Mus musculus: one gene and its partners. The protein of the gene in region 1 interacts with the protein of each later gene in a biochemical or structural test. Links are inferred from orthologs where the notes say so. Each region holds a gene or a part of one and is shown on either strand. Other genes may lie near its edges. The genes, in order: Tnfrsf13b, Tnfsf13b and Tnfsf13.

What was found.
Region 2: the proteins of Tnfrsf13b (region 1) and Tnfsf13b form a complex in vitro, tested with the Homo sapiens proteins (3 studies listed by BioGRID and IntAct, with this or other methods). The link is inferred for Mus musculus from reciprocal best matches to the Homo sapiens genes TNFRSF13B and TNFSF13B.
Region 3: the proteins of Tnfrsf13b (region 1) and Tnfsf13 form a complex in vitro, tested with the Homo sapiens proteins (2 studies listed by BioGRID and IntAct). The link is inferred for Mus musculus from reciprocal best matches to the Homo sapiens genes TNFRSF13B and TNFSF13.

What each region holds. Positions count from the first base shown.
Region 1 is NC_000077.6:61,122,387-61,132,062, reverse strand, and holds the start of Tnfrsf13b (tumor necrosis factor receptor superfamily member 13B), read right to left. Parts: upstream 5,309-9,676; 5' UTR 5,248-5,308; intron 3,283-5,247; exon of another isoform or gene 3,213-3,282; intron 1-3,212. UniProt on the Homo sapiens protein: Receptor for TNFSF13/APRIL and TNFSF13B/TALL1/BAFF/BLYS that binds both ligands with similar high affinity. Mediates calcineurin-dependent activation of NF-AT, as well as activation of NF-kappa-B and AP-1.
Region 2 is NC_000074.6:10,001,990-10,011,642, reverse strand, and holds the start of Tnfsf13b (tumor necrosis factor ligand superfamily member 13B), read right to left. Parts: upstream 5,011-9,653; 5' UTR 4,801-5,010; coding exon 4,483-4,800; intron 4,394-4,482; coding exon 4,309-4,393; intron 1-4,308. UniProt on the Homo sapiens protein: Cytokine that binds to TNFRSF13B/TACI and TNFRSF17/BCMA. TNFSF13/APRIL binds to the same 2 receptors. Together, they form a 2 ligands -2 receptors pathway involved in the stimulation of B- and T-cell function and the regulation of humoral immunity.
Region 3 is NC_000077.6:69,682,204-69,692,020, forward strand, and holds Tnfsf13 (tumor necrosis factor ligand superfamily member 13), read right to left. Parts: upstream 3,352-9,817; 5' UTR 3,057-3,351; coding exon 2,826-3,056; intron 2,536-2,825; coding exon 2,457-2,535; exon of another isoform or gene 2,330-2,456; coding exon 2,282-2,329; exon of another isoform or gene 2,201-2,281; intron 2,134-2,200; coding exon 2,015-2,133; intron 1,790-2,014; coding exon 1,651-1,789; intron 1,324-1,650; exon of another isoform or gene 1,224-1,323; intron 1,142-1,223; coding exon 1,032-1,141; 3' UTR 374-1,031; downstream 1-373. Other genes in the region: Tnfsfm13 (tumor necrosis factor (ligand) superfamily, member 12-member 13), read right to left, coding at 1,032-1,141, 1,651-1,789, 2,015-2,133, 2,282-2,329, 2,457-2,535, 2,826-2,927, 4,754-4,888, 5,049-5,173; Tnfsf12 (tumor necrosis factor ligand superfamily member 12), read right to left, coding at 4,637-4,888, 5,049-5,173. UniProt on the Homo sapiens protein: Cytokine that binds to TNFRSF13B/TACI and to TNFRSF17/BCMA. Plays a role in the regulation of tumor cell growth. May be involved in monocyte/macrophage-mediated immunological processes.

The DNA of each region.
Region 1 (9,676 bases):
TTATATAGAATATTGTGGAAAGAAATTACCTAAAAAAAAAGCCAAAAGATACCCTGTGTTCATAGACTAGAAGACTTAAGAAGTCAATATGGCCCAAAGCAACCTACCAATCAGAATTTAGAACAGAATCCTAATGACTTGTTAAAAAACATAAATAGGAAACCCTATCCTAAAAATTCAAATGGAATTACTAGGACCTGAGAATAATCTTTAAAAGAAGGGCGAGCTGGGGTCACTCTTCCTGGCTCTGAAAGAGGCAGAGCTGCTGCAGTCCACAGCGTGGTGAAAGCACAGACAGGGGTCTGACCAGAGCAGCTGGATAGGGAAGGCAAACCAGTCTTCACCTGTATGAGCAGATGGCTTCCTTGCAGGCGTACCGTGAGCATTCAACGGGGCAAAACCCAGTCTTCTCAATGAATAGCTGATATCATTTAAATTAGGGTGTCATACATTTAAGATGTTATACCAGCGTTGAAGGGAAAGCTGGATGGACACATGCAAATGGAGTTAAGTCCTTACCTGATATCATTAAAAAATAATAAAACTCAAAGGGCTGGGTGTGGTAACCCATCCCTTTAATCCCAGCACTCAAATGCAGAGGTAGGCGGAACTCTGTGAGTTCGAGGTCAGCCTGGTCTACAAAGGGAGTTTCAGGATGGCCAGAACTGTTACACAGAAAAACCCTGTCTCAAAAAAAAAAAAAAAAAAGTAAACAAACAAATAAAATCAATTGATCAAAGAAGGACAAGGGGAAGAAGGTGTCCCCAGCCCTTAAAGTCATCAAGAAACAGGAGGCTAAAAAGGTGGTCAACCCTTTGTTTGAGAAAAGGCCCAAGAAGTTTGGCATTAGTCAGGACATCCAGCCCAAAAGAGATCTAACATGCTTTATCAAATGGCCCTACTACATCAGGCTGCAGCGGCCAAAAGCCATCTTCAATAAGTGGCTCAAAGTACCTCCTGCCATTAACCAGTTCACCCAGGCCTTGAACAGGCAAACAGTTACTCAGCTGCTTAAGCTTGCCCACAAGTACAGGTCAGAGACAAAGCAAGAGAAGAAGCAAAGGCTACTGGCCTGTGCTGAGAAGAAAGCTGCAGGCAAAGGGGACGTCCCAACTAAGAGACCCCCTGTCCTCTGAGCAGGAGTCAACACAGTCACCACCTTGGTGGAGAACAAGAAGGCTCAGCTGGTGGTGATTGCCCATGACGTAGACCTCATTGAGCCGGTGGTTTTCCTGCCCTGTGTCGAAAGATGGGGATGCCCTACTGCATCATCAGGGAAAAGCCAGGCTGGGGTGCCTGGTCTACAGGAAGACATGTACCACTGTTGCCTTCACACAGGTTAACTCAGAAGACAAGGGTGCTCTGGCTAAGCTGGTCAAAGCTAGTAGGACCAATTATAATGACAGATATGACAAGATTCACTGCCACTGGGAGGCAACGTCCTGGGTCCTAAGTCTGTGGCTCACACTGCCAAGCTGGAAAAGGCAAAGGCTAAAGACCTCGCCACTAAACTTGGTTAAATGTACACTAAGTTCTCTGTACGTAAATATTAATTACAAAATTACCTTCCCGGAAAAAAAAAAACTAACTAAAAATTGGGCTAAAGAGCTGAATAGATATTTCCCCCAAAATACGCATGAATGAACAACAAGCACAGGGAAAGGCTGGACCCAGCTCAGCACTGGGCAAAGGCAAACTCAAACCAGCAAGAGGCCACATCCCCTGCTAAGGACTGCTGCTACAGTGCAGGGACAGAAAGTGAGGACTGCAGGTGTCAAATGGGACTAGGCAGTGTTGTGACCACTTTGTCAAGTGGCTTGGCAACTATTTAAAAATTCAACCAAGTCACCACGGGAGCCAGCAATTCCACACCTGGGTAGCTGTATAGCCAAAAGGATGAAAACACACTGCCCAAAATATAACCACTCTCACAAAAGCATTTTTCTCTGTCCCCAGTGAGTGGCAACCACTCGAATGCTGGCCATCTGATGAATGAATAAAAAATAGTTTATCCCTAAAATGTGATATTATTTTAGCTATGAACATGTAGCTATGGTCATGCTACAAAATGGGTGACCTGTGAAAACATGTGAATCACTAGGGAACACGGAATCACAGCACACACTGAGCGCGATGCTGCTGATACAAAATATCCAAAAAAAAAAAAAAAAAAAAAAAGCAAACCTCTAGACATGGGAGATCCGTTAGCTGTGGTCTGAGGCTGGAGGTGGGAGAAAGTAAGATTAATAAGGATTCTTTTGGGATATCGGAAACATCCTAAAATTAGGTTGTGGTGATAGGTACACAATTGTGATTCTACTAAAAACGGAAATTCTTTTAAGTGGAGCTACTGCCATCCCTGTGGAGTGAGTGAGACGAGCAGGTCAGCTTGAGAGAGGCTCCAGGACCCACCACAGCCACGGCCTCAGACCGCAAGACTGACCAGAAGAAGCTATGCCCACCCTTCTTTCTCACCCACCAACCAGATCCATGTAAAGCCCAGAAGCCCCGCCCAGCCCCTAGGATGGGCAGGAGACCTCCAAGAGTGACGGCAACTGAGTCAGAAAAGGAAGCTTGAGGAGACAGCACTGCTGGTAGATAGCAGGGAAGGAGGAACTCCTCTTGTAACCTAGACCGGTTCCTGCGAACCCTAAAACCCAAGAGTCGGCAGCACCTCCAATTTCTGGAGGCCTCCTGACATGCTTGTCTAGATGGCAAGGCGCTGCTCCACGGAAAACTGATGAGGCAGATTAGTCTGAAACCTTCTTTTAAAAAGTCAAGGCAGCAGCTTGCACCACACAGAAAGACCCGGCATATCTGCACCGTGGTGCTACAGGCTCCTGACCAGGACTATAAGGTTACACTCCGTACCACATGCAAGGCAGGGGCGCATCACGCCGCTCCTCTTCCAAGCCCCAAACTGATGGGTCTTCTCACCCCTTAGTCCAGGCGTCGAGGAAGGCAACTTGGAATTCTTGCGCCTTTTAAAAACTGGATGCAGTTTGGGATAGGGGGTGGCGCACGCCTTTCATCCCAGCCCTTGGGAGGCAGAGGCAGGAGGAACTCTGAGTTCAAGGTCAGTCTCATCTACAGAGAGTTCCAGAACAGCCAGGGCTATACAGAGAAACCCTATCTTCTTAAAAAAACAAAACAAACAAAAAACAAAGCCAAAAACTTGGACACAGGACATGTTTGACTATTATTGTGAATACCTTTAAAGAGGAAGGGAAGACTCGGCTTTCAATACCAGTCAGGTGCCTGTTGTGAGCGAGCAATCCTACGCTGCAATAGAACAAAACAAGACAGTTTTAAGAACGCAAGGCCCAGCTGGGCGTGGTGGAGCACGCCTTTAATCCCAGCACTCAGGAGGCAGAGACAGGCAGATTTCTGAGTTCGAGGCCAGCCTGGTCAACAAAGTGAGTTCCAGGATAGCCAGGGCTATACAAGGAAACCCTGTCTCGAAAAACCAAAAAAAAAAAAAAAAAAAAAAAAGAACACAAGGCTCAAATTACAGCATTTTGCTATTAATCCAATATTAATCCGAATAGTTTACTTGTGCATATATATGTATATGTATATATATATACATATATATATATATATATATATATATATATATATATATATATACATACATACACACACACACCAGTTTTCTATTTGAGTAAAACAAAATTGTTATGTGAAATACATTAAAGTGGTTACTTTCATTTTAATGGCTTTCTATTACTACTACTACTATTACTATGTTTTTTTGAGGCAGGATCTCACTATGTAGCCCTGACTGTTCTGAAGCTCTCTGTAGACCAGGCTGGCCTCAAACTCACAGAGATCTGCTTACCTCTGCCTCCCAAGTGCTAGGGTTAAAGGTGTGTGCCACTAACCTAGCCAGTGGTTTTCTAGTTTTAATTTCAAGTGTAACTGCTTTAGTTTTTATTATTATAGAGAAACTATGAATGGAAAGAATATATACCTATTTCATGATAATACAAATGTAATAAATATTAAAATAATTATTTTAAATGTTAAATTATTTAAAATACTGAAATAAGGTAGAGGATTTTTTTCTAACTTCCCAGAACCTTTGAATGTCACTTTTCAAGAGGGTCTGAAGGGTTGACTGCAGATTTGCGGTTTGAGGCCCATTTTGTAGGTGAAGAGAAGAGACTTATCCGAGGCCAAGGGCCAGTGTGCAAACTAAGAACAGCAGTGACTTGAACTCTCCACCTGTCTGGGCTCTCACTGAAGCACTGGAAAGCTAATGTGGGTTCCAGAACATTCTTCCCTGATTCCTAACTGCTGGTCCCAGGTCCTCTGACATTTCCTTTTGGGTCAAGATGGCTCCTGACCATCACCTCTTGCGATTCTCTGTGAAACTCATTCGCATCCTTGGTGGACATGGTTGCTGGACAGAGATGGAAATCCTAGCAAAGGCCTGCCTGAGTCTAGCTTGGGTAGGGGGATGGGTCGAGAGCTGCTGTGAGTGGTGGGTCCTGATGACTTTGCCTTGGAGGAAACTTTTTTTTTTTTTTTTTGGTTTTTCGAGACAGGGTTTCTCTGTGTAGCCCTGGCTATCCTGGAACTTACTTTGTAGACCAGGCTGGCCTCGAACTCAGAAATACAGAAATCCGCCTGTCTCTGCCTCCCGAATGCTGGGATTAAAGGCGTTCGCCACCACCGCCCAGCTTGGAGGAAACTCTTTAAGGAAACTCTTTAACACTATAGGATAAACAGCTCTGATTCATCAGCAAAAATCAGCAAGAAAAATAAGAAGGCAGATGGGGATAGGTAGAGTCTGAAATACAGAACCCACTTTTCTCCTGAGGGCCATGAAGGTCTGATTTGAATCTGCCCACCGAGGACACACATCATCAGCACTTCGCGCTCAACACCTGTGCTCGTAGGCGCGTCACGATATTAAGAGTTCTTAGAAATTCACAGCAGTTAAGTGCGGGCAGAGATCTAAATGCTGCATCTCGAGGCATCCAAAATTTACCAGATTCACTTCAAACTAATCCAGGGGCACAAGGAAACAAATCTGGAGCACGTGGATAGAAAAAAGAAGGTTCCTGCCTGTTTGGCTGACCCCACTGGCAGGCAAGACCTGACCCCCGGAGGCCTCTTCCGTGTGCAGGACTGAAGCTGTCCCAAAGCTGAGTAGCCTTAGCTTGTGCCGTGGTGGCACTGCTAGATCTCCAGCCCCCGGAGCACCCTCTTGGCCCTCACCCACCACGGCTGGCTACTCACCACGCTCCTGCGCCAACAGCTCCAGCCTCCTGCCTGCCCTGGCCTACACCACTCATTACTCAGGGCGTTTATTATTAGCCTGAGATTTTGTTAGGCCTAGGCCACACTTCCTGGGTTTTCCCCTTCGACCTGGGGATGTAAATAAGCCACCCTGCTGACCTGCGCCTGCGCTTTAGTCCAGGGAGGACAGGTAAGCGACCTGTCGCTTTTGGCTTAGCAGTGAGGGCTTAGCCTGGTTGTATTAATGACAGGGCTTTGACACTTCTAGATCTTCTCTGGCCCGGCTCCTGCGCCTGGTTCCTGTCCACTGCCCACTGCCCACTCTCCAGGCTAGGATGTCCAAACAGCTCTTGTCCTCCCCACATAGCCTTCCCTCCTCTTGGACCATTACATCCTGTGCTGCTGCCTGGTCAGTTCTTGCTGTCTCTTTTTCAATGATCAGTTGAGATGTCACCTCTCCCACGAAGCCATCTGTGATTGCTCCCAGGACGTTAGGTGTTACGTGCAGTCCCTGTAGATCTGGGTTTTGCTTCAGGGTCTGATACCTTGGTAAGGACTTGTATATAAATTGTCTCGTACCTCCATGCCCTCATTTGAAAAGTGGGCCCTTGAGTCATTGTGAGAATGACATGAGTTCACACAGTCACTTGTTCTTTGTCTGGCTTTTAGTTCCTTTGACACAGGTGTCACTATGTTGTCTGTCTCAAGAGCCTCCTGTCTCAGACTCCAGAGGGCTGGGATTTCAGGTGTGCTCCTCAACGCCTGGCCACCACAGGCCCCTTCTTATAGCAAGTTCTCAGCACACAGTGACTGAGAACTCCATGTCCAATATATGACATGAAGAATCAATGCTACAGCATCAACTTCATTGCTTAGACTCCCTGGTCTTCAGAATCCTGCAGGGATAAGAAAGTCTAACAACTGCACTCCCAAGTTCACTGTAGTACTGTTCACAGTAGCCCAGATACAGAGGCAATCTGCATGTCTTCAGTGGATGTGTGTGGACAATGGGATTCTCTTCATTCTCAAAAGAGAAGGAAATCCTGCCATTTGTATGAACACGGATGGAACTGGAGAACTTTATGTATAAAAATGGAAGTCTGGCTGGATGTGGTGGCACACGCCGTTAATCCCAGCATTTGAGAGACAGAGGCCGGCAGCCTCCTGAGTTCTCTGCTAGCCTGGTCTACAGAGCTAGTTCCAGGACAGCCTGGGCTACAGAAAAAAACATTGCCTCAAACAAACAAACAAACAAACAAACAAACAAAAGAAAAAGAAGTCATGGCCTAGAGCGAAGGCCCAGCAGGTACGTGCACTGACGCTGCCCTACAGAGAACCTGGGTACAGCTCCCAGCACCCACAGGATAGCTCACAAACATCTGTAACTTGGGTTCCAGGGGATCCAATACCCTCTTCCAGTCTCCAGGGACCCCCAGACATAAGTGTGATGCACAGACACGTATTCAGGCAAGACACCATACACATAAAATTTTAAAAATTGGGGCTGGAGAAATGACTCAGCGGTTAAGACCATTGATTGCTCTTCCAGAGGTTCTGAGTTCAATTCCCAGCGACCACACGGTGGCTCACAACCATCTGCAATAGTATCCGATGCCCTCTTTTGGTGTGTCTGAAGACAGCAACAGTGTACTCATATAAATAAAACAAATAAATCTTTTTAAAAAATTTAAAAAATGAAATCAATGGCTTAAATTGGAAAAGGAGCCAGTCATAGAAAGACAAAAGCCACATGTCTCTGTGGGACAGAGATCTTACAACTGGGAAGAAGATCAGTCAATGGAGGCTGTGGAAGGTCGGGGACAAGTTGGTCAGAAGGTCCCAGCTTCAGCCAGGTAGTTCTGTGTTTCTGTTGTATGGCAGAGTGTCTATGATTTATAGTACTATGCTGTGTAGCTCAGAACCCCTCCATAACCGCAGTGCAGCTCAGTGGTCAAGCATGGACGAGGCCCTGGCTTCATCCTCGGCACTGGAAAACAAATGGCATACACCCTTAATTCCGGTGCTCAAGAGGCTAACGTAAAGGAACCAGCTCCTATGTAGCTCTAGGCCAGCCTGGACTACATAGGAACCAACCTGGGCTACATAGGAGCTGAGGGTAAGGGAAGCCTTGGGTTCAATATCCAGCAGAGAAGGGAGGAGGAAGAGAGGAAAAGAGGGAGACAGTGAAGAAGGGAGAAAGGGGAGGGAGGAAGGAAGGGAGAGTGGGAGAAAGGAAGGGAGGGAGGGAAGAAAGAAGGAAAGAAGGAAGGAAGGAAGGAAGGAAAGAAGGAAGGAAGGAAGGAAGGAAGGAAGAAGAAGAAGAAAGAAAGAAAGAAAGAAAGAAAGAAAGAAAGAAAGAAAGAAAGAAAGAAAGAAAGAAAGAAAGAAAGGGATAGTGGGAGGAAGAATGAAGAAAGGAAGAAAGGAAGGGCGGGAGGGAAGGAGGAAGGAAGGAAGGAAGGAAGGAAGGAAGGAAGGAAGGAAGGAAGGAAGGAAGGAAACAAAACTGTGACAACCCAATGTCATCCATCAGGTTCTAATTCTCTGAAGGATGGTCCTGAGACAGGCTGCAAGCGAGCTAGGAAATGTGAGCATCCCTCTGATGGAGCTTCTGGCTGTACAGAATCATTTTAGGAGACTATCTACCCAATACTGACCCTGAAAGCCCATCACTGGAAGCTTGTTAGTGGCAGCAGGAGACTGACAGCAATGTGGCTGCCATCCACTGGACGGTGGCTGCATAGCCAGGGTGCAGAGGTCAAAGGCAGAACCAACACTGTTAAGGTGTGCAAAAGACTGGGTTCAGTGGGACAGGCCACTGAGAGAAGTGCTACAGCAGGATGCTGACAGTAGGATGCACACACGCATACATGCACATGCATACATACATACATACATACATACATACATAAACACACATGTACACATACATCCTCACATACAGACACAGTCACACATATATACATACATGCACACATATGAACACATGCACACGTATACATATATATATACATGTATACATACATGCACATGCACACATACAGAAACATTTGCACATATATACACACATACATATATACACATGTACACATACACACACACACACACACACACACACACACACACACACACACACTGGTGCTATTTTTCCCAGAACTGTGTGCCTGGGAATGTGTCATATGACAAGGTGGGACAAAAGGGTGATGTTTGAGGGAACTCCAACCCTACATGGGAGGTTTTCATAGCTAGTGTTAATTAACTACAACCAGCAAAACCACTGCTGGGCCAGGGGAGTGACAGGTAAAGGCCATTGCCAGGAAGGAACATTCTGCCTCTGGGTAGAGGGCAAGCTCAGGGCCAGAGGGTTGTGTCCACTCCTTGCCTCTCTGGACTTGTTGGTCTCTGCTGGTTCACTGAGGGCTGCATGGACCTCTCAGGCTGCTAAGCACCCTACACCTTCCACAACTGGAGCTGTGATGTGTTAGACTAGAGAAGCTGTCCTGAGCCTCACGCACTATCTTGGTCAATACTTACAATGTCTTGTGCATGAATGAGAAGCAAATAACACCCTGCCTGCTCTGGGGAGGCAGCAGGGAGTAAAAGGGGAGGGTCCCTTTAGTCACATCCAGTCACCACAGGCTGATGCTCCAGTGCACATGTGCTCTCTCAGAATAGTGCTGGCAGTTTCCAAACCTCATTCTGAAACCAGACCTTTCTGTACTGTCTCCAGGGGCACCACCGGCTTCCATGTGAGTCACATGGCCAAAGTTTTAGAACCCGGAATAAAGACACTTTGCACCCTCCCTGGCTTGAGAGCTGGCTCGTTTACACCAGTGGGGTCCAACAACTAGAACGCACAGGCATTGGGACAGCTCCAGAGAACAAACCCCAGGCCCCTCTAGACACCTGCAGTGTCTCTGGGAACGTGACCGCTTTTGTGGCCCCCTTCGCTTATATCATGCTTGCATACACTGGGACAGCTCAGACTTGGTGTTTCCCATGTGACTCAGTCTCCGAGTACCATCCTCCAGCAGTTCTCATGGGGACCATGAGGCTTGCTGCGGCCCCAGCTCTGCTTCAGTGCTTCAGTCTGTTGTTTAGTACTTTCTCACTGAAGGCCTTGAGTTGCCTCGGTGGAATTACCTCATGGAGGGAATGTCGCCCCATTACTGTCCCAACACTGTGCATATGGTGGGGTTTCCAAACACAAACCTTGGCAGCAGCTGGCTCCCTCTAGTATTGAGTCATACTACCTGGTAATACCCTGAGTAGGTTCTGGGATAAAGAAATATTCAGAAAGGAACATTTTTAGAATTGTAGCTGAAGCCCTTGTCATGACAGCAATTTATACACGAGACACCGATAACCATTTTTTTTTTTTTTTTTTTTTTGGTTTTTTGAGACAGGGTTTCTCTGTGTAGCCCTGGCT
Region 2 (9,653 bases), on another chromosome or scaffold:
TAAAATACAGATAGTTCTTGCGTGGTTGTGAATCTTAAACGATCCTGGTCCTTGCTCTTGTGATCTCTGGGTCCCTCTGCCCCCCTTTATATCTCCTAACTGTCCCGTTTCCACCTCTGCTTTACCACTGCTACTGCTGCAGGAGCTTTGATAAATGTTATCCACAAAATAATCAATACAACGTTTTTAAAAGAGAGTTTTGTCTTTCTAAAATCAAAGTATTAGACAATCCTAGACAGAGAATGGGTGTGAGCTAACCTGCATTAGGAACACAGAACATCACAGAGAATAGTAACTTTGTCCACGGAAGTCCACGGAACAACACAGTGGATATGAAATGGTGAGGTCAGTACTACAAAGTACAGACGTACAGAACCTAGTTACTCAGCTCCATTAGAACCCAGTTTTTCTGAGCTAACCAAGGGATACCTGTCCTAATACGTGATGTCTGATACTACACAATGTCAGAGGCTTGGTTGTCTTCAAGGGACGGACACTCATTTGACTTGCGGTTCTAAGGACTGGGATTCCTATGTCAAGAAGCTTTCCTATCTGCTGTCCCTCTGGAGGTACCATCCTAAGTCAGAAAGCAAAGGTACGTGAAACAAAATAAGAATGGAAATTCGCAGCCTCCTGCCCATTTACTTTTCCTGTTGACTAACAAGTGGGGAGATGCTGAAGCTTGGTCCTGGGGCCCCGTGCATTCGAGGCAGAAGCTGGACCACTGAGCTGACTCCTCTTCCCTCGTTAAATTTGAGGCAGGAATCTTTTTTTTTTTTTTTTTTTTTCTGAGACAGGGTTTCTCTGTGTAGCCCTGGCTGTCCTGGAACTCACTCTGTAGACCAGGCTGGCCTCGAACTCAGAAACCCGCCTGCCTCTGCCTCCCGATTCACTGAGCTGCCTCAGGCAGGCACTGAACTCATCATGTGATCCTCCTTCCTTGGCTCCAGAGTAGCTGGGATGACAGGCTAATGCTGTTTGCCAGTAAGCTCTAAAGAAGTCACCTTCTCAGGCTCTAAAGATGTTCTTATTTAGATTGTGAAGTGAATAAAGATGTAGCTCGTGAAGGCTCACAGCACAGTCCTGTGTGATGGCAGTTTTAAGGAAACTAGATTATGTAATATTTTCAGATCATGTTGCTCAGTTTTCTTTATTATTATTAAGAATCTTTCCAAACACATTTAAAGGATTAAGAGTGAATTGTTGGTTATGATAAGCTATTTGGCAATTCTTTATTCCTGGATTTCCCCACATTTCTGTTTATTATACTATAATAAAATGACCTTATAAAATGTACTAAGCTTAATAAAATATAATTCCAATTCAAATTAGCTAAAAAAAAAAGTATGCCAAAATGCTAAGTTTTAAAATTAAGCAAAAGTACTAATTGTCCCCGGAGGACTCAAGAATTGGCAGGGATCTGTGTTTCCCCTCTGCTGCTGTGAGATGAGATAGGATGGAGATACCCACAGCTCAGACACAGATATAAGCAGCTCCCAGATAAGAGCCTTAGTGGACACCTTGAAAGTAAAAGGAACACCCCAGGTTATTTTAAGTCCAAGAAAACAATCAGAACAACCAGATGTGTAACACAAATTCACAAAAGCAAATACATTTTTCTCAATTTAAAAGTAAGACTCGATTAAACCACAATAGAAAATCCTCGAGTTTCATATAACTTTTGTGGGTTAGTAGATAATCACAGTGGTCACTGATCACAAAATAAAATTTCTCGTTTCAAAGGGATAATATATAAAACAAGAGTCAATACTGTAATTGTCTAGGAATAGGAAATATTTCCTTTCCTTGAGTCTCATATCTGAAACTTTCTCATCTTGGGTTTATGAGTATTAGGGAAATATATGTAAAGAAAAAAACAAAATACATATATCATACATTGACAGTACATTGTTCTTTAAATTTTACAAATTATTAATTATTTTCCCTCTCCCAGTTGCATCAGTCTGAAATATTTGGATGCATAAATTCACAAATCTATAAAATATACAAATGGGAAAATTTTAAAAATTATATCATTACAGGATATTTAACCCTAGTATTCCTCTCTCTTTCTCTTTCTTTCTGTTTCTGTCTCTCTTTGTCTCTTTTCCTTCTTTTTCTTCCTATGTAGCCCTGTTGGTCCAGAACTTTCTATATAGATCAGGCTGAAATCTTTAATTCCATCTACCTCCAACGTTCTAGAATTAACGACATACATTATAATTCTCTGCTCTTCTTTACTCTTAAAGCTCTTAAAATGAGTCTATGTTCTCTTTAGAATGGCGAAGTTGTGGTTTCTTTTTGAAACCAGTCCTTAGAAGCCTGGAAGTGTAGCAGACATGACTTAAGACCTCTGTGGCATCTCGCCTGACTATTAGGTATTGATGTCCACTAAAATGTAAAACTACTTAGACCATCCGAAGCAGCTGGGCAGAGAAATAGGCCAGTGATAGCACATAAATCCAGTCCTGCATAAAGGACTGACTCCACAAGCTCACCAGCACAGAATTATGGAAAATAGTTGCATTCTTTTGTTTGAGACAACAGCCTGAAGGGGGATGGAGAAAGGAGGAAGTCATACAAGTGTGAGAGGCTTTACCACAACAAAAGACACAGGGATTAATAGGTTAGGAGCAAAGGAAGGCTTGGTCAGAACAAGAGACAAGTAAAGGGGATTGCAGCTTGGTAATTAGAAAGCCAGGGAGGGGCAAATGTGCTTTAACTTGATAAACCAGAGGAAACAGAAATCCCTTTAAGAGACAGACAATCACAACGGCTCTGTATAGGTTTGAAGAAAATACAAGGTGAAGCGCAAGTAATTACATCAATGTCAAATTGTTAAAATAAATAAATAAAAAGGATAGATAACTAACCAATTAATTTAAAAATACAAAATTGAAAATAAGATAAAAACATGTGAACAGTATTTATAATTAGTGGATGGGGTTCACACTCAAACTTGAGGAGCTATCTGATGCTACATAAGTATGGAAATGAAGGTACAACGATGAAATTCTAATGAGCATATAGAAACCTGTCACCCCAAAGAGTTCACAATAAGAAACTTGAATAATAATCTATGGTTCTATTGAATGCATAATTCCTCAGACACAAGAGATACACACAAGAAAAATTGTGTATCCTGTATCAGTCACAGTAATAATAAAATCATTATTTAAAGCACAAGCAGCAAATTAGACAAAGGGAATTACTAAGAAATCAGTGAGATATTTATTGTAAAATAAGAAATAAAATACAGCAGAGTGTACTGCTTGTACCATTATGTGCGCTGTGATTATGCACTGTTATTACACACACCGTGACATACAGGGCACTTATTACATGCTCTGTAATTATGTGCTATTATTCCATCCATTGTGGTATATGTACTGTTACTACATATGCACCATGGCATATGTTCTATTATTGTGTACAGTGCACTATACATGCTGTAATTATTTCAGCAAAAAGGTTAGAAGGTAGCTAACACTACATACAGTAAATTTCAGATTTGCACAAAAATTTTGGTACTGCGGTGCATGTAATATTTTCATACTCTTTTGGCATGTAACTTAGAGAGTCAAGAATTTTTGTTGTTTATATAGCTTTTAAGCTGTTTTTCACTCAGACTATCAGGTAAAAATTTTTTTATAAGAATAAAAAGGCAGTCAACATCAGGAGTGTGCTGAATTGTATTGTTAACAAACAAGTATTGCTTCTTTTTTTCCTCATGAAGCAAGAAGAAAAGTCCATTTCAGTAACTCCCAACTCTGCAAAACGCTGGGGAATGGACAACAACCACTGAAGCCACACCAGACTGATTACACGGAAATTATGTTGCATATGGAAAGGGTGCATTACAGTCTTTGCCATTTCTGTGTGTTTTGCAACTGCCCCCACAATGTGTGTGTGTGCGCGCGCGTGTGTTTAAAAAAAAAATTAGTAAAACCTCATAATGCAGGGTTTGTCCACATCTGAACTTGGCCAGAACATGGGAAATCTGAAAATGCTAGGGAATGGCTTCTTGTCTGGGATGCAGGCGGTCACGTGACTGCGGTGACAGGAAGAGCTCTGCGGCTAAGTCCTTGAGCACACATCAGTGCGAGAGATCCGTGCACCCTAGTCGTCTTGTCACCTCCCACAGGGATCCTCCTATCCATACACCCTGCTCAGTGTAGGGCAAGGCACGCCACGCAGCTTATTGCAATTGCTACAAAGCTACACAAAGTGCTTCGTTCACCGCGGCCGGGCGGCTTGCAGGTGTGCACAGCACAGCCCCAGCTCTTAACTGCTGTGCCCCAGCCGTACCTGTTTCCTCTGGTCCCTGGAAAGCGCGTCTGTTCCTGTGGCCGCGGCTGGAGTTGTGGGGTCGAGGAGCTGCCGGTGTCAGGAGCTAGGAAAAGAGACAACCAGTCCGTTACTGGACAGCTGTGGAGTGGCATACCTGGGGCTCCTGCACAGGCAGAGGAGGGGTGAACTCACTTTGACTCCAGCGGTCAACTCTGGAGCACCCGCGGCGGCTGGTGTTGCTGAACCTCGGTAGCTCTGCAGCTCCATGCGCAGGTTCATCAGGTCTGCTTGCAAGGCAGCCAACTGGTACAAGGACATCGCTGTGAAACTGCTGGACAACAGGGCCAGCAGGAGGGTAGCAGCCAGCAGCCTTCCATCCCTGCAGATCCCAAACCAGGCACCCTCCTCCTTCTGCGGAGTGATGGGATCATATCCCACTTTCATATCTTCTCCTTTCTCGGAGCAAAAACAGAGGCACGGTGGTGGCAGGGTCTTTGCAGACTCATCCATTCCACGAGGAGCACTTTGAAGGTCTAGGCCTTTGGAGTAAGTGACCACAGGGGTGGGTCATTTCCTGTCATCTGTGTCCTGGGAGACTGCCCTCAGAGCATGGCAGGGCTGGGTTCCCCCAGGAGCGCTCTCCTGACTTTCTTCTGCATCTTTTGCTACCCTGAAGTAGGTTCTCTGGCTCTGGCCTTCCATGGATTGCTCAATCTGCCTTCCGCATTTCACTTTCAGTTTTTGTAAGATGTTTCATTCTATCTCAATACAGTCCTGTTTGTGGGAGATGCGAGGCCTCTGACACGGCGGCTGGGGGGGGGGGCAGCTTGGGGTTCAGACTGACTCACTCCAGACAAGCTTATCGAAGGTGCTTTCCCTTCAGTGTGCTCTTAAGAACTGTCTACTTGGAGCCACATGGCTTCTAAGGAAGGGGAAAGGGGACACTGAAGGCCTAGTGGTGTAATAAACGATAATTAATGTACAAGTCAGATAAGCTCAGTGCTTGAGTCTGAACTGCATTTGGCTGCCGGACAAGGAAGCCAACAGCTCCCCAGTGGAAGATGAAATGGAGCGCCATAAAGCTGAGTGACTGAACTCCATCTGAACTCTGCTCTCGTCTTGGTGGGGCAACGAAGAGAACATGCTACAGCTCTATTTAAGGCCACACCGGGGGTGGGGGTGGGTGGGGGTGGGGTGGGGGAGCTTTAAATGTGGGGTGGATTACAGGGAAGCATGGCAGAGACTCAGTCCCCACCCCCACCCCGCTAGGAGCTGACACACAGTCTCCACATTGATGGCACTCGTTTCACAGGTATGGACACAGGATGTCCTCAGTCTGTGCCTGGGCTTGGTGACATGAAGGCACTGCTCCATTCATTTTAGTCTTTCCTGGTCTGGAAGGCTGGCTGGGAGCCTGGTACCTCAACATCCGTTTATCTTCAGTCAGCACAGGCCATTGAACACTTAGCCGAGACTCCATTTGTCTAAACCTCGGGCTGCTGAGCAGTGGTTTTGCCTCATGCTGCCTTCCCTCAGAAGCTTAGGAAGAAAATCTCAGAAACAAGGACACACAGCAGCAAGGATTCCAGAGGGAGGCTTCCCCACCACCCATCCAGCTTCTGCCCCTGGCCCTCCCTCATGAGACTTAATGGTAGGATTAGAATTCCACCACATGATAAGCTGAGACAGGAGGATTGTGGGTTCAGGGTTAGCCTGGGCTCCAGAGCAAAACCCGGCTTCAAAATCAAGCACATATCTCAGGTATGTGTTATTACCAAATCACATACAGAAATTAAATGACTCGAAGAAGTGCAAGACCAAAGGACGGCACCTTCTTCCTGTTCTGTATAATTATCCAGAGGGAATTATCTAGCTGGGCTATAAGATGCCCTTTGCCTTCTCTGCTCTATAAGGCAAAGAACTTCATGGCCAAACTCCTCAACTTAAAGCCCAGACCAATCTGAGTCCAGGTCATTTTAGAATAAGTGTCCAGTGTTGGTTCAGGTAGTGGTTGTCACTGTGCATCAATGGCCACTGCTTCTTCCAAAAAAGTTTGTCAAGAAGCCTCCTTCTGGCTAGCAGGCACCACTGTACAACGCCCACAGAGTTCACACAAAAACAGCTCCTTTACAGTGAGGGCTCTTAGATTTCTTAGGAAATGAACGTTATCTCTCCCTAACTCAAAGGTTTGCTTCCTGCAGAGGAAATGGTTTGATGATCTAATCTGAGATTTACTCGATGGTGAGTGCACTCTTTATTGCTTGACCACCGCACAGCACTGGTGTACTCACTGCCCTTCGGCAGTTTGTGGGTGGCCACCACGTACGGCACATCTCTTGGAATACCAGATAGTTAGATCTTGTCTTGATGCAATAAGTTGGTCTGCATGTTGGTGCTGAGGAAGTTTGCATTAGGTTTTTTGAGAAGGGATTGCTGTTTCCTGTGGGTTTGTTGGTTGTGGGGGATGCTAGGATGTTGCTAATTATTTCTCCCTGTCCTATTAGTATTTTTTTGTTTGTTTTTTTGTTTTTCTGACTTGCTGTGTTGGCCATGCCGGATCCCAGCTCTCCTTTGTTTCTGCACTGCTCTCATGTATTTATTCTTTCCTGGGCTTCTCTGAGTGAGACTCTCCCCCTCCCCTAGATAGTATTCAGACAGATCATTTCTGCAGCATAGACCCCACTGCCACGCGCTGCATAAAGTGTTTTTATTTCTATCAATCCTGACTGGCAATCACTTACTTTAAGGTCTTAAAATACAATATTCCCTACTTTCCTGGCTGTTATTCTGGTGTTTCTGCCCACGGAGAGAACTGGCGTTTTTCCGTTACAGTTTTTAATATTGTTTCTTTGCTATGTATTTTTTGACTGAATCATGAGATGGAAATGTTCTTCTCTGGTGACTTAAGTTGGGGACTCTCAATTCCTCGTAAGATGCCTGTTTCCTTTGGGTTGAGGAACCCCCTGCTCCAGCTCCGATGACTGGCGCTCCCCGGCTGTGTGGGCTTGTGGCTGTGCGCACTCCCAGTTGGAGGTGCTACTGTCTCAGCTTTGGCTGCTGTCCTGTAATGTTTCTTTTGCTTGGTTGTATCCGTCATCATCCTTCCCACCACGTTCTGATTTCATGAACTGACTCTTTACTACTAGCACAGCTACCTGCTTTTTATTTTCAGCCTCAATTTCCATGATTTTGGCTATTTTACCCATATGCTCACTTTTCCATAGTGGTTTTTTTTTTTTTTCCCTACATGAATAAACTTGTAGAATGAATAAAGATTGTAAATGGAATCTTATAAGATTGGACTGCACGAGTGGCTGGGTAGCCCTACTATGACTATGTGTGCAGGACAGGCTGAGAACCCGGTGCCTGCTTAGTCCAGGAAACCAGATGCCTCACAAGTCTCAATATGTGACTGAAACTCTGGAAGATCCCAGTGCATCAAGTCCATGGTGGAAGGGTGAAGACATTGGGCCCTGGGACAATTGAAAGGCAGCAAGAGCAGCAACAGGAGGAGATGCACTCGTCAGCAAGAAACAAAGGTGGGCAGGCAATACTGTCTCCCCGCCTCCATCCCAGGGGCCATTTATCTGTGGTTCACTCCTCAGGGGTCACCTACTCTGGAAGAAGGCCTTCTCTCTCAGTTCATCCTTCGTGAGGGTGCCCTAACAGCCAGCCAGGTATATCTCTTCAGCTATGCACCCATCTTTATGGTTTGTTCCATTCTAATTCTCTTGTTGATTTTGTCCTTTATTAGGAATCTTCAGCAGGGATTCTTGGTTACCCTTTTCTTATTTATTGATAGGAACACATTTAACTGACATAAACTGCTTGGTAAAATTCAGTTCTGTCTGATATCTTATTATTGATGTTTTATATAAAAATGTGAAAATATAGTTTGGATTTTCATTTCGGCTAAGATGTTACCACAAGGACATGGGGGGGGGTGTTTTAGATTTTAGGAATGTTTATGACCTGACTCATTGATTTATAGTTCCCTGAATTTCATTAGTGTAATTCCTCATACTGCTCCTTTGTGAGGGTTAGGCTTTAGACATTTGAAGACGACATATCCTTGATATTTTCTTATTCTAATCTAAAATGTCTCATTTACTTACTTAATTAAATAATTTTGGTTTGTATGATTAGTCGGACTAGCCAATAGAAAGTTTCCTATAGCTAATTATTTTTCTGCATAGCTATATAGCTATTTTGTGTTTCCTTGTGGTTACTGAGGGTATTTTATGTTGTGGTATATTATTACTGACTATATATGACTACATATAATATTCAATATATTATATATACTTGTACTGGCTAGTTTTGTGTCAACTTGACACAGCTGGAGTTACCACAGAGAAAGGAGCTTCAGTTGAGGAAATGCCTCCATGAGATACAACTGTAAGGCATTTTCTCAATTAGTGATCAAGGGGGAAAGGCCCCTTGTGGGTGGGACCATCTCTGGGCTGGCAGTCTTGGATTCTATAAGAGAGCAGGCTAAGCAAGCCAGAGGAGGCAAGCTAGTAAGGAACATCCCTCCATGGCCTCTGCATCAGCTCCTGCTTTCTGACCTGCTTGAGTTCCAGTCTTAGCTTCCTTTGGTGATGAACAGCAGCATGGAAGTGTAAGCCGAATAAACCCTTTCCTCCCCAGCTTGCTTCTTGGTCATGATGTTTGTGCAGGAATAGAGACCCTGACTAAGACAATACTGAATTCAAAGCTATTCAAAATTAAAGCTGTAATAACTTATGTCTATGAGAACAATAATTATTTTCCAAATGTGTAAATATAAAAATGCAAATGGTGAGAACAACTTTAAAGAGTTGATTTAAAGAGTTAAGTGACTTACTGTGTTTTTTGAGGGATAATTTGTAAAATTCTGGTGGCACATCCTTTGGCAATGCATAAACCTACAGCTTATGTTAGCCCCTGAATGGGAAATGAGTTTCTAAGACACCTTGAACAGAAAAATGTTGCATGAAAAACAAAATTATAGTGGAAAATATGTGTAAAAGAACTAAACACACATGCCGTCTAATTCTTCATCAGTGCAATCACAACACGGGATGAAAAAGACTTAAGAGGGTCAGGGTCTACTTTGCCTCAGGATTTCAGAAGAATCAGCCCGCCATTTCAAGTGGACAAAAAGGAGTATGGCCAGGCTGGACACACAGGAAGGAAGCCCAGCCTCTCATCTGGCCTCTACATTTCTTTTTGTATTCTGTCCCTGTATCCCCACCCCATGGATAGTTTTGCTACACACAAGATGTGTCTTATCCCTCAGTCAATGTCTGCTGCCTGGACATATCACACCAATCTAGATCCTATACAATTCAACTTGACAATAATGGTTAATCATCACAAAT
Region 3 (9,817 bases), about 8.6 Mb from region 1:
CATGGCCAGAATGTCAGGGGCCCCGCAAGGATTGGACCAAAGCTAGGCGCTTAGGAAAACGGAGGCCGAACATTGGGTTTTGAGGGCTTTGTTTTTAAAAACAAACAAACAAACAAAAAACAGCTGGGCGTGGTGGCGCACGCCTTTAGTCCCAGCACTTGGGAGGCAGAGGCAGGCGGATTTCTGAGTTCGAGGCCAGCCTGGTCTACAGAGTGAGTTCCAGGACAGCCAAGGCTACACAGAGAAACCCTGTCTCAAAAAACGAAAAAAGAAAAAAAAACAAAAACTTTAAGCAGGGCGTGATTAAATAGTGAGACACGACCGGTGTGCCAGGGCGTCCAGTACATACAAACTTCCCGGATACCAGTCTGATCGTGGAGAGCCTTTCGTTTATTTGTTTGTTAGTTTGTTTGAGACAGGGTCTCACCATTGTAACCCCTGGGTGGCCTGGAACTCACTATTTAGACCAAGTTGGCCTCGAACTCATCGAGATCTGCCTCCCGAGTACTGTGATTTAAGGCGTAAAGCTCAGTGCCCAGCTCGGAAGTGTATAGGAGAATGGGGAGGATGAATGGCATGCATATCGAGGCACCTAACATATATCTTTTTCTAGATAGTAACAAGAATTTGGACGCAATAGGTGAAATACTGAAAGCCGGGCTTCTTGTTAATTGAAGCAGAGGGTACTTGAAGAGTTGGATAAGGTTTTCCCTAGCAGAGACCATAGTCTTTCCTCAACCTGCCGCTAGATGGTGCTGCTGTTCTGGATGCATTCCAGTGGACAAGGCTTGGCACAGTGCGCAAAACCCCCTTCGCACACACAACAAAAGAATTTGGGGCTGTGTGGGAGATAAACACAAAATATTCTACTTTTTTAATATCCATGGAGTCAAAGCCCAGATAGTGGGAGCGGGAAAGGCAAAGGGAGGAACAACAGTCAAGGCAAAGCCATGGAGAGCTGTTCTTGACCGTTCCTTGTCCTTTGTCTAGCCAGTTTTTGGAATGGGAAATCCCCACCCCCTTTATAACAATCATAGTTTCACAAACCCCAGGAATGTTCCATGCGGAGAAAGGCTAAGTTTTGCGTTTGCCCGTGGAATTTTGACAGTGATAATATCCCCTTGATGTAAATGAAAGACACCTGAGGGTGGGGGAAAAAAACATTTCAGACGCTTCGTTCTGCCTGCTCCAGCCCCTCCTCCATTTTGATTTTATGTTTTCAGTTTTTTGTTGGGGAACATGTGCATGTGTGGAGATCAGAAGACAGCTTGAGAGTTGGTTCCTTCCTTTTGCTCTGTGGGTTCTCGGAATCAAACCCAGGAGGTGAGATGTAAGGGATGGAGCAAGTTACTTTCCTAAGTGAGCGGTCTCACTGGCTTTGTTGAATTTTGAAGGCAGTCTCACTCTGTAGCCTAGGCTGACCTTGAACTTTAGGCTAACCTATCACATGGGCTTCATATGTGGGATTATAGGCACGAACCTAGTTGTTCATAGGCGGGTGCCTTTTCTCCCTGCAAGGACTTTGGCATCTTGTTCTTGAGTCTTCAGATTTGCCTCTCCACCCCCGTTCCCAACTCTCTGGTCTAACTCCCCACTCCAAGTCAGCTCTGCTACCTCATATCAACACTCCACGGAGCCCACAGTTCTCACCTGCACTGTAGCAGCTATTGTAGGCACGGTCAGGATCAGAAGGCATACTTCTGATACATCGGAATAGAGTTTCTCTTCTCCCTTGTCCTTCCCGAGATACCACCTGACCCATTGTGAAAGTCACATCATGAAACAGGACCTGTCAGAGAAGGGAGACGCTGAAGAAAACCGGGATGGCACCATTCAGTCCCTGGAGGCCTCAGGAGCACTGGCAGTGGAGCCAGGCAATAAGGAGGGGGTTTTCTAAGTTTAGTATGAGCAGAGGGATCAGGAAAACCCTCCTTACAGACAGGGTACATAGAAAGAAGAGTGACAAGCCAGTCTCCATGTCCACACGGCAGGCTCAGGGCTTATCTGGGATTACCTGACTATAGAGCAGATAAATTCCAGTGTCCCAGACTCGTACAATGTCTCCCTGGGCCTCCAGGCCTCTCCCACGCCTAAGTACTGGTTGCCACATCACCTCTGTCACGTCAGAGTCTGCTAGAGGTGAGGAGTGTGCAGGTCAGCATTTCCTTACCCTCAGTACATGAGCTCTCTCCCTTTTCAGTTCTAGGGTTCTCTTGGCCCCAGCCCCACAGTTCCTGGTTGGTGCCCCTCCCACAGTGCCGTTATTTAAAATAGTGCTTACCCTTGGAGGTAATGTTAACTGGAACAAGATGCAGGACTGAGTGCTTCTCTAAGGAAAGAAGGAGGAAACAGCAGTGTTGACCTGCCCTGGAGTCCACCCTCACCTCAGCCCTGCTCCGCATCCCTCGTGCTCCTGGGTCACCGCCAACCGCACCGAAACCCCAGGGCTCACTCACTCTTGTGCTTCTGGGTGAGTACTGCTCTCCTTCTCCGAGATTTCGCCCCATCCTTCCAGGCTTCCAGGACATCAGGACTCTGCTCATGAAAGAGGGCCAGAGTTTGACTAAGATGTTAAGGGTCTCAGACAACCTTCTTCCCAGCCCTCCTCAACACCAGGAATAACTGAAATGTATGTATCTGTCATAGGCCCCTGATCTGGGCACTGACTGCCTTTCAGGGTGTTTATTTTCCTTAAATGGCTGTTCCCTTGACTTCCAAATCTAGATCCACCTCCAGCACTTACTTGCAATTTTGCAGATTGAGAGGCTCTGAGACCCCTCTGCCATTCATCCTTCAGCCCTAGATTCCCATCTCCCCTGACTCACCTGCTCCCAGAGGCTCTGCCATGGGCGCTCTCCCTGCTTCTGGGAAGGCCCTCCACTCCGCTGCAGCCGGCTCACCTCCCGCCTTAGGCTTTGCAGCTCTGTCTGTTGGATCAGTAGTGCGACAGCACAAGTCACAGCCCCCAGAACTGCCCCCCAACTCAACCAAAGAGCAACCGAAAGGGCTGGCTCTCTGACTGAGCCCCCCATGTGGCCTGGAGATGAGGCTGGCATGAGCTAGGGACCCTGCCAACAGCTGTGGTCTCAGAAGTGAGGTGGCCAAGAGGTAGCAGGGAGGGTGGGAATACAGGCAAAGGCACAGAAGGGAAGAGCGGGTTACGCAAGGGAGAAATAAAAAGGAACTTGAGAATAGGAAGAAATCAAGCTAGGGTACTATTAGTCCCCCTTGTCCCCAGGGTCGAGCTAGTGACACTCTGACACTCCTTCCCCCCTAGCCTCAGGAGAATTTGGTGCCATTATCTAGGAAGGACAGGGCAGCCGTGACACCCAGAAGGAGCGGCCAGCCTTCAGGAGCCCAGGGGCGGCCCCTAAGTTGGAGGAGGGCAGGTCGGTTGGTTATGGGGCATGGTGCCAGGAGCAGGGAATGGGTATAAGCTGGGCAGCGTGGGGTTTAGAAGGTGAGTGTGGTAGACTCTGACTCAGGCATGAATGAGATCTTTGAGGAGGTTTGTTAGGGGTGACTGGAGATGAAAAAAAGGGGTTTAGGGGCCAGCAGGGAGGAGAACCAGGGACAAGAAACTGGCAGGGTGCTGGGGTTAAGGCTGGGCCGGGTGTGTTGGAACCAGGCCTGCACTACTCCCTGTGCTGAACTTGGCAAGCTGGACTTCCTGTTTCCCAAGAAGAGTTCTTACATAAGGTTCTCTGGACAAAGAGAAAAGACAAAAGCGGCAAGCCCCTCAGTCGGTGCAGCTCTCCTCCCCACGCCCATGTAGCTGGCCCACCGGAATCCTTCCTACGGCTGGTTCTAAGCCCCTTCCCAAGCTAGATCCCATCCCATGTCCTAGCCAGACCTCTGCCAGCACCTGCTCAACTGCTTGAGGCTGCCAAGAGGAAGGGCCCTGCTCCTCCTAGCCAGGGATTCCCCTGCAGGAGGAAGTCCTTTGCTAGGAAAATGAGGCTGCTTCTGCAGCACCTTGAGCAGAGGACCAGGTGGGTTTTGTTGTTGTTTGTTTGTTTGTTTGCATTTTTTTTCTGGTACCTTTGTGATTTCTATTCAGAACTGCAGCTTGGAGGCATGCAGGTCCCTGTTCCCCAAAGCCTAAATCCCCTTCCCACAATCTTCAGTTACTCTGAACCCCAAAGAAGAGAAATCATGATTTATTCTCTTTAATATCCATTTAACATTTTGTCACAATAATAATAAAAATAGTATCTTTTCAAAATCCACAGGGATCCAGGGAGGAGCTTGTCCCCAGCTCTTCCCCCTCACAGTTGGGAACTTCTGGCCTAGTCCCAGGTTCTCTGGCTTCCTGCCACCAGGTCCAGCCCATCTCAGTGCCTGGTGCACAAAGTCAATAAACACGTGGTCGGGTGAGTGGGTGGGGGAGTCAGGGATAAGTAGGGGCTTTGGGAGCTAGTGAGGTGGATAGTTGTGGTGGGATGGGATGTTAAAGAAGAGCAAGGATACGTCTGTGGAATGGAAAACATGTGAACAAGCTCTGGCTGCCTTTGAGGAGAGGACAGGACTGGACCAAGGAGCAGCGAGGGGGTGGAGGAGTGGGGGTGGGGTAGGGAGGTGTGGTGATGCTCCTGGAGCCAGGGAAAGTTTAAGGAATCTGGGAGAGCAAGGCCCCTCAGTGAACTTGAAAGAGTCCAAAGTAGGTTAGGAAGGGGGCAGCCTTAAGATGAGCCCAGGGGAGGGTGCGGATCCGAAGGGAAGACCCTGGCCGCAGCGGCAACAGCCCAGACACCTGGCACAAACGGAGCTGGGGCCCAGGAGAGCTTGCTGCTGTGGCTGAGAATTCTTCCAGGCAGCGCAGGGCCAGCACACCGTTCACCAGCAAGTCCAGCTTCAGGTAGACAGCCTTTCCCTCATCAAAGTGCACCTGGAACAGAGAGAGGCAAGCAAATCCAGACCTCTGCCTCCCTCATCGAAAGCCAGGCATCTTCCTTCATGAGTCGCAGAGTCTCCCTCTCCCACCCATTCCTTGCCAGTCCCTCCTCCCCTTAGCCTTTGCTCTGCCCCTGAAGCCAGGCAGGGCTTACCTGACAGTACAGGTAGTAGAGCCCAGCCCTGATGACTGTAAATTCCCCAATCTGGCGGTCGTAGCGCAGAGGGCTGGAGCTGTTGATTTTGGTCTCTTCCCAGCCACTCACTGTCCCATCCACACCTGAATGGGGGATGTTTAGGGATAAGTAGAAGCCCCTTTACAAGACCCCACACACATTCCCCAGGAATCCATTAAGAGTGTGTGTGTGTGTGTGTGTGTGTGTGTGTGTTTGTGTGTGTGTGTATACACACACATACATGGTACAGCTTGCCCAGAGTATAGGTGGAGCCATGCCCTTATGGTACACGAAGTGATAATAAAGTATTGTGTGATGAAACCTAACATACATGACCAGGAAGTTGTCACTGGTGATTGCTTCTGGGGAGAATAAAGAGTAGTGCTACAGCAGAAGAGTTGGGGTTTTTACATTTTACTTCACGGTTTATGTCCTGAACATCTATACTATACTATACTATACTATACTATACTATACTATATACACACGTGCCCGCATCATTTGAGTCAACTGAAAACAGGTGACAGGCCACAGACTCATGGGTTATGAATTGAAAACTTCCTATACAAATGAGAAGAATATGCCCAGCATTGCTGGTGCACACCTTTAGTGTTCACCTTTAATCCCAGCACTTGGGAGACAGAGGCAAGAGTATCTATGTGAGTCTGAGGCCAGCCTGGTCTATAGAGCAAGTTCCAGAACAGCCTGGGATACATAGAGATCCCTGTCACAAAACAAAACTAAGAAAAAAATAAAATAACTCTTAATGTCCATCAGCAAATGAACAGATGAGTAAATATGACATCCCTGTCTCTTGGTCCATTACTCTGCTGTAGAAAGGAATAAAGAGTTGCTTGCTAGCATGTGAGTGAACCTTGAAAACATTGTGCTCAGTGAAAGAACCACATATTGTCTGCTCCCAAGCATAGGAAATACCTGCAATAAGTAGTCTATAGAGACTGCGAGGGGGCAGGTGATTACTTGAGGTTAGCCATGATGGGACTATAATGTGATGGCTAAAGGATGCGCGGCTGCTTCTTCCTCTTTTTATTACTACTATTATTTTTTGACACTGGATCTCATGTAGCTTAGGCTGCCTCAGACTTTCAATGCAGTTGAAGATGAACTTGAATTCCTCATGCTGCCTTCCAAGTGCTGAGATTATGGTATGTGCCACTTTACCAGACTTGGCCTCATGTTTGTGACAGGCTCTCTATGCAGTCCTAGCTATCCTGTTGTCCACTATATTACCCATGCTGGTCTCTAACCCAGAAACTGGCCTGCACCAGCCTCTGCCTCCTAATGCTGGGATTGCAGGTGTGAGCCATGGTTTTTGGTGATTAACGGTTTACACCTCAGGGTGCACTTTAGTCACAGTAGAGCACAGGATTATACATGTGGGCGGACTGCATGGGATGTGAGAGCTATCTTTTTTTTTTTTTTTTTTTTGGTTTTTCGAGGCAGAGTTTCTGTGTAGCCCTGGCTGTCCTGGAACTCACTCTGTAGACCAGGCTGGCCTCAAACTCAGAAATCTGCCTGTCTCTGCCTCCCTAGTGCTGGGATTAAAGGCGTGCATCACCACTGCCCGGCTGTGAGATCTATCTTAATAGAGCTGCTACCAAAAGCCATGCCATGCAAAGGGCTGGGGATGTAGCTCAGGGGTAAAGTGCTCAGCTAGCGTGCCTAGGACTCTAAATTATGTCACCACAAAACAAAGAGAAATCTCTAGAACTAGTGTAGTCGAAAACTGTAAAGAAAGCCAGGCATGGTGACACACGCCTTTAATCCCAGCACTTGAGGCAGAAGCAGGTGGATCTTTGAGTTCAAGGCCAGCCTGGTCTACAAAGTGAGTTCCAGGACAGCCAGGGCTACACAGAGAAACTCTGTCTCGAAAAAAAACAAACAAACAACAAGGAAGTAGTAGTCAGCTTGGACCTCAGAGTCTATGACTTCCCAGATTCTGCTCCAAGGCTATCACCCCCACCCCACTCCCACCCCCACCACTACTACCACGTCCCATCCTGGCCTTCTTCCTGTCTCCCACCATGCTCCAAGCTCCTTCTCTCTATGGGGCTTTATAATGGTATTCCTCCCCCAACTGCACCCCCGCCAGCTCTTCTCTTCCTGACAATGACTTCTAGTTTCTCCTGTGGGAGTGGTGTGTGTGTGTGTGTGTGTGTGTGTGTGTGTGTGTGTGTGTGTGTGTGATATGTGGGGCGGGGAGTGGGGGGGAGTGGTGTGTGTGTGTGTGTGTGTGTGTGTGTGTGTGTGTGTGTGTGTGTGAGAGAGAGAGAGAGAGAGAGAGAGAGAGAGAGAGAGAGATGGAACAGGTCTATAATCTGATCCTTTGGGATTCTGAGAAAGAAAGCTCCTGAATTCAAAGCCGTGTCTCAAAACAAAGCAAAATAAGACAAGCAAACAGACCCGGCCATGCCCATCTCTGACTTCCCTTCTTGTTCCCCAGCAGTCAGCAAAACATGAACTCTGTATTCATCCCCCCTTGCAAGGGCAAGGACAGCTGTCCTATTCACCCCGACTATCTTCCCAGCACTTAGAACTGGGCCTCACCTAAGGTAGGCCTAAGATGCACGGGTGAGGAGTTACCTGACAGTTCTCATCCTTTGGGTCCACAGGCTCCCTGGGCCTCAGGCCCCACAGTCAGTCAGTCATCCACCCCCCTCAGCCCTCCCTCTCTGCCATCCCCAGCTCTGTTCCTGTCTCTTATTTTTTGTTGCTTGGTTGAAGTCAGAGTCTCACTGTGTAGCCCTGGCTGCCTGGTAGTTACAGTACACTGCCTTGACCTTCCTGCCTCTGCCTTCAAGGTGCTGGAATCACACTGCGCTCCACCCTGCCTGGCTTTCTCATCCCTTTCTCAAGTAAACAGTAACTCTTTGGCTTAGGGTGTGGCTCTGTGGTACAGCACTGGTCTAGCTAGCCTATGGCCCTCCTTCAGTTTGTCTCCCTGTCCCTTCTCCACATTACCCACCCCATGCTCACTGTGGGGTTGGGGGGGGGCAGTGATTCTTTCTGGGCATTTCCATCTGAGTTGTTAGCACAGCCACCTGTCCTTTACCAGCCTCCCTTTACCCAAACTGACCTGACCCCTTAACCCAGAAGGGTGAATGAAGACTCACTCCAGTATCCACACCCCATGCGTGGCTCACAGAACCACCAGTCTCTCCTATACCAATACCAAATTTGCTCAATAATAACAGTTTCCTACTGTTCCCGCTCCTGAACAGCCCTGTCCTCTCCTCCCCTCCCTCCCCAGTCTGGCCTCCTCGGGACTCCTCACTGTTTCCAATTTTGACTTTTCCAGTTTATTCCCCAAAGTATTGGAGTTGCTATGTCCAAAACCTGACTCTCCCTGCATTACCTTTGATGGATAGGTCACTGAAGAACAATCCCTTCTCTCTTTGTGACCTGCCTGCCATCTGTCTTCCGTAGTCTTCTACCCTACCCTATTTTCTTTTACAGGCATGTGCAACCTGCAGCCATCAGAGGGCCCCATGCATCTCAGGGTGCTATGGACATGGCCCAATGTATCTGCAGAGGACATCATGTCACAGTATCAGAAGATCAGGTACCCCACATGTATAGAGCGCTTTTCCACCCCCACCTCACTGAAACTCTTTAACAACCTTCCGCCTCATCAGACTCTTGGGAAAGCCTGGCCTTGCATGGGTCCTGAGCCTGCCTCTACCACCCAATTAAGCTTTGAGGCCTACTAAGGCCTAAATGCTACTACCAGGGGCAAGGAGTCCCTGACTCCACTGTAAAATCGTCTTCCTGTGTGGTGCCATGTATCTTGGGCTACCTTACCATCATTCTTGTCATCTACCACTGTAATTACACATTTACAGACTGCCTGCTGTTCCTCTGTGGTGAATCCTTAAGCAAAGATGTGTGAGTGTGACTCACCGTGGCCTGGCCCCTGGTACTGAGCAGGTTCCTGATTGCATGTATGCCGAGCCGGTGGGCTGAGGCTTGGGGAATCATCAGCTGCCCAATAATGCCGAAATAATGATGCCCAAACAAACCATCTCTCCCAAGGTGAAGAGAGCTAGCCTGGCCCTACCGAACAGTGAGGAAGGAAAAAGGAGAAGGAATACTGGGTGTAGACTGGCTTAGGGCAAGGCTAGTTGTGGTCTGAGGACAGGGTATACTTGGGAATGTGAATGGCTCCTAGGTCACGCAGCACCATAAACCTTCAAGGGTGTCCCATGCTACTTGGCAGCTCCCATAAGGGCTATACTTGTTAGTGTAGCATCTCTCCTCAGATCTTCTGCTGCCATGTCCCTAGTTCCCCTGGGGTCCCCCATAAAACCTACAAGCACCACTTCTCATGTTCCTTTGGCATCTTCAGGATGGAAGTGTGTCATCTCTTCCTTCTAGAATCATCCCTTCTACCTTCTCTAGCCTGTGGGTAACCTTATCCCTGCCCCAAGTGAGTCTCTCATGAAGACTCTGTTCAGCACCTAAGCATGTCCTAGCTGGCTTTGAATCCCACCTCCACCACTTAGGCCTGCCATGACCTTGGGCAAGCTGAATATCCCTCTCATTAGACGTAGGTTATCGGTGTCCTCCTGCTATGGCGGTTGTGGGGATCTGATCAGTTCTAATGCCTACCGGCTACTCCCAGTGCCTACCCCAAAGGCACCGCACCAGGAGGAATGCAGCTTTGCTAAGGACCAAGGTTTTCTCTGACTTACATCCCTCTTTACCGACCAGCCACTTCTCTCCTTCTT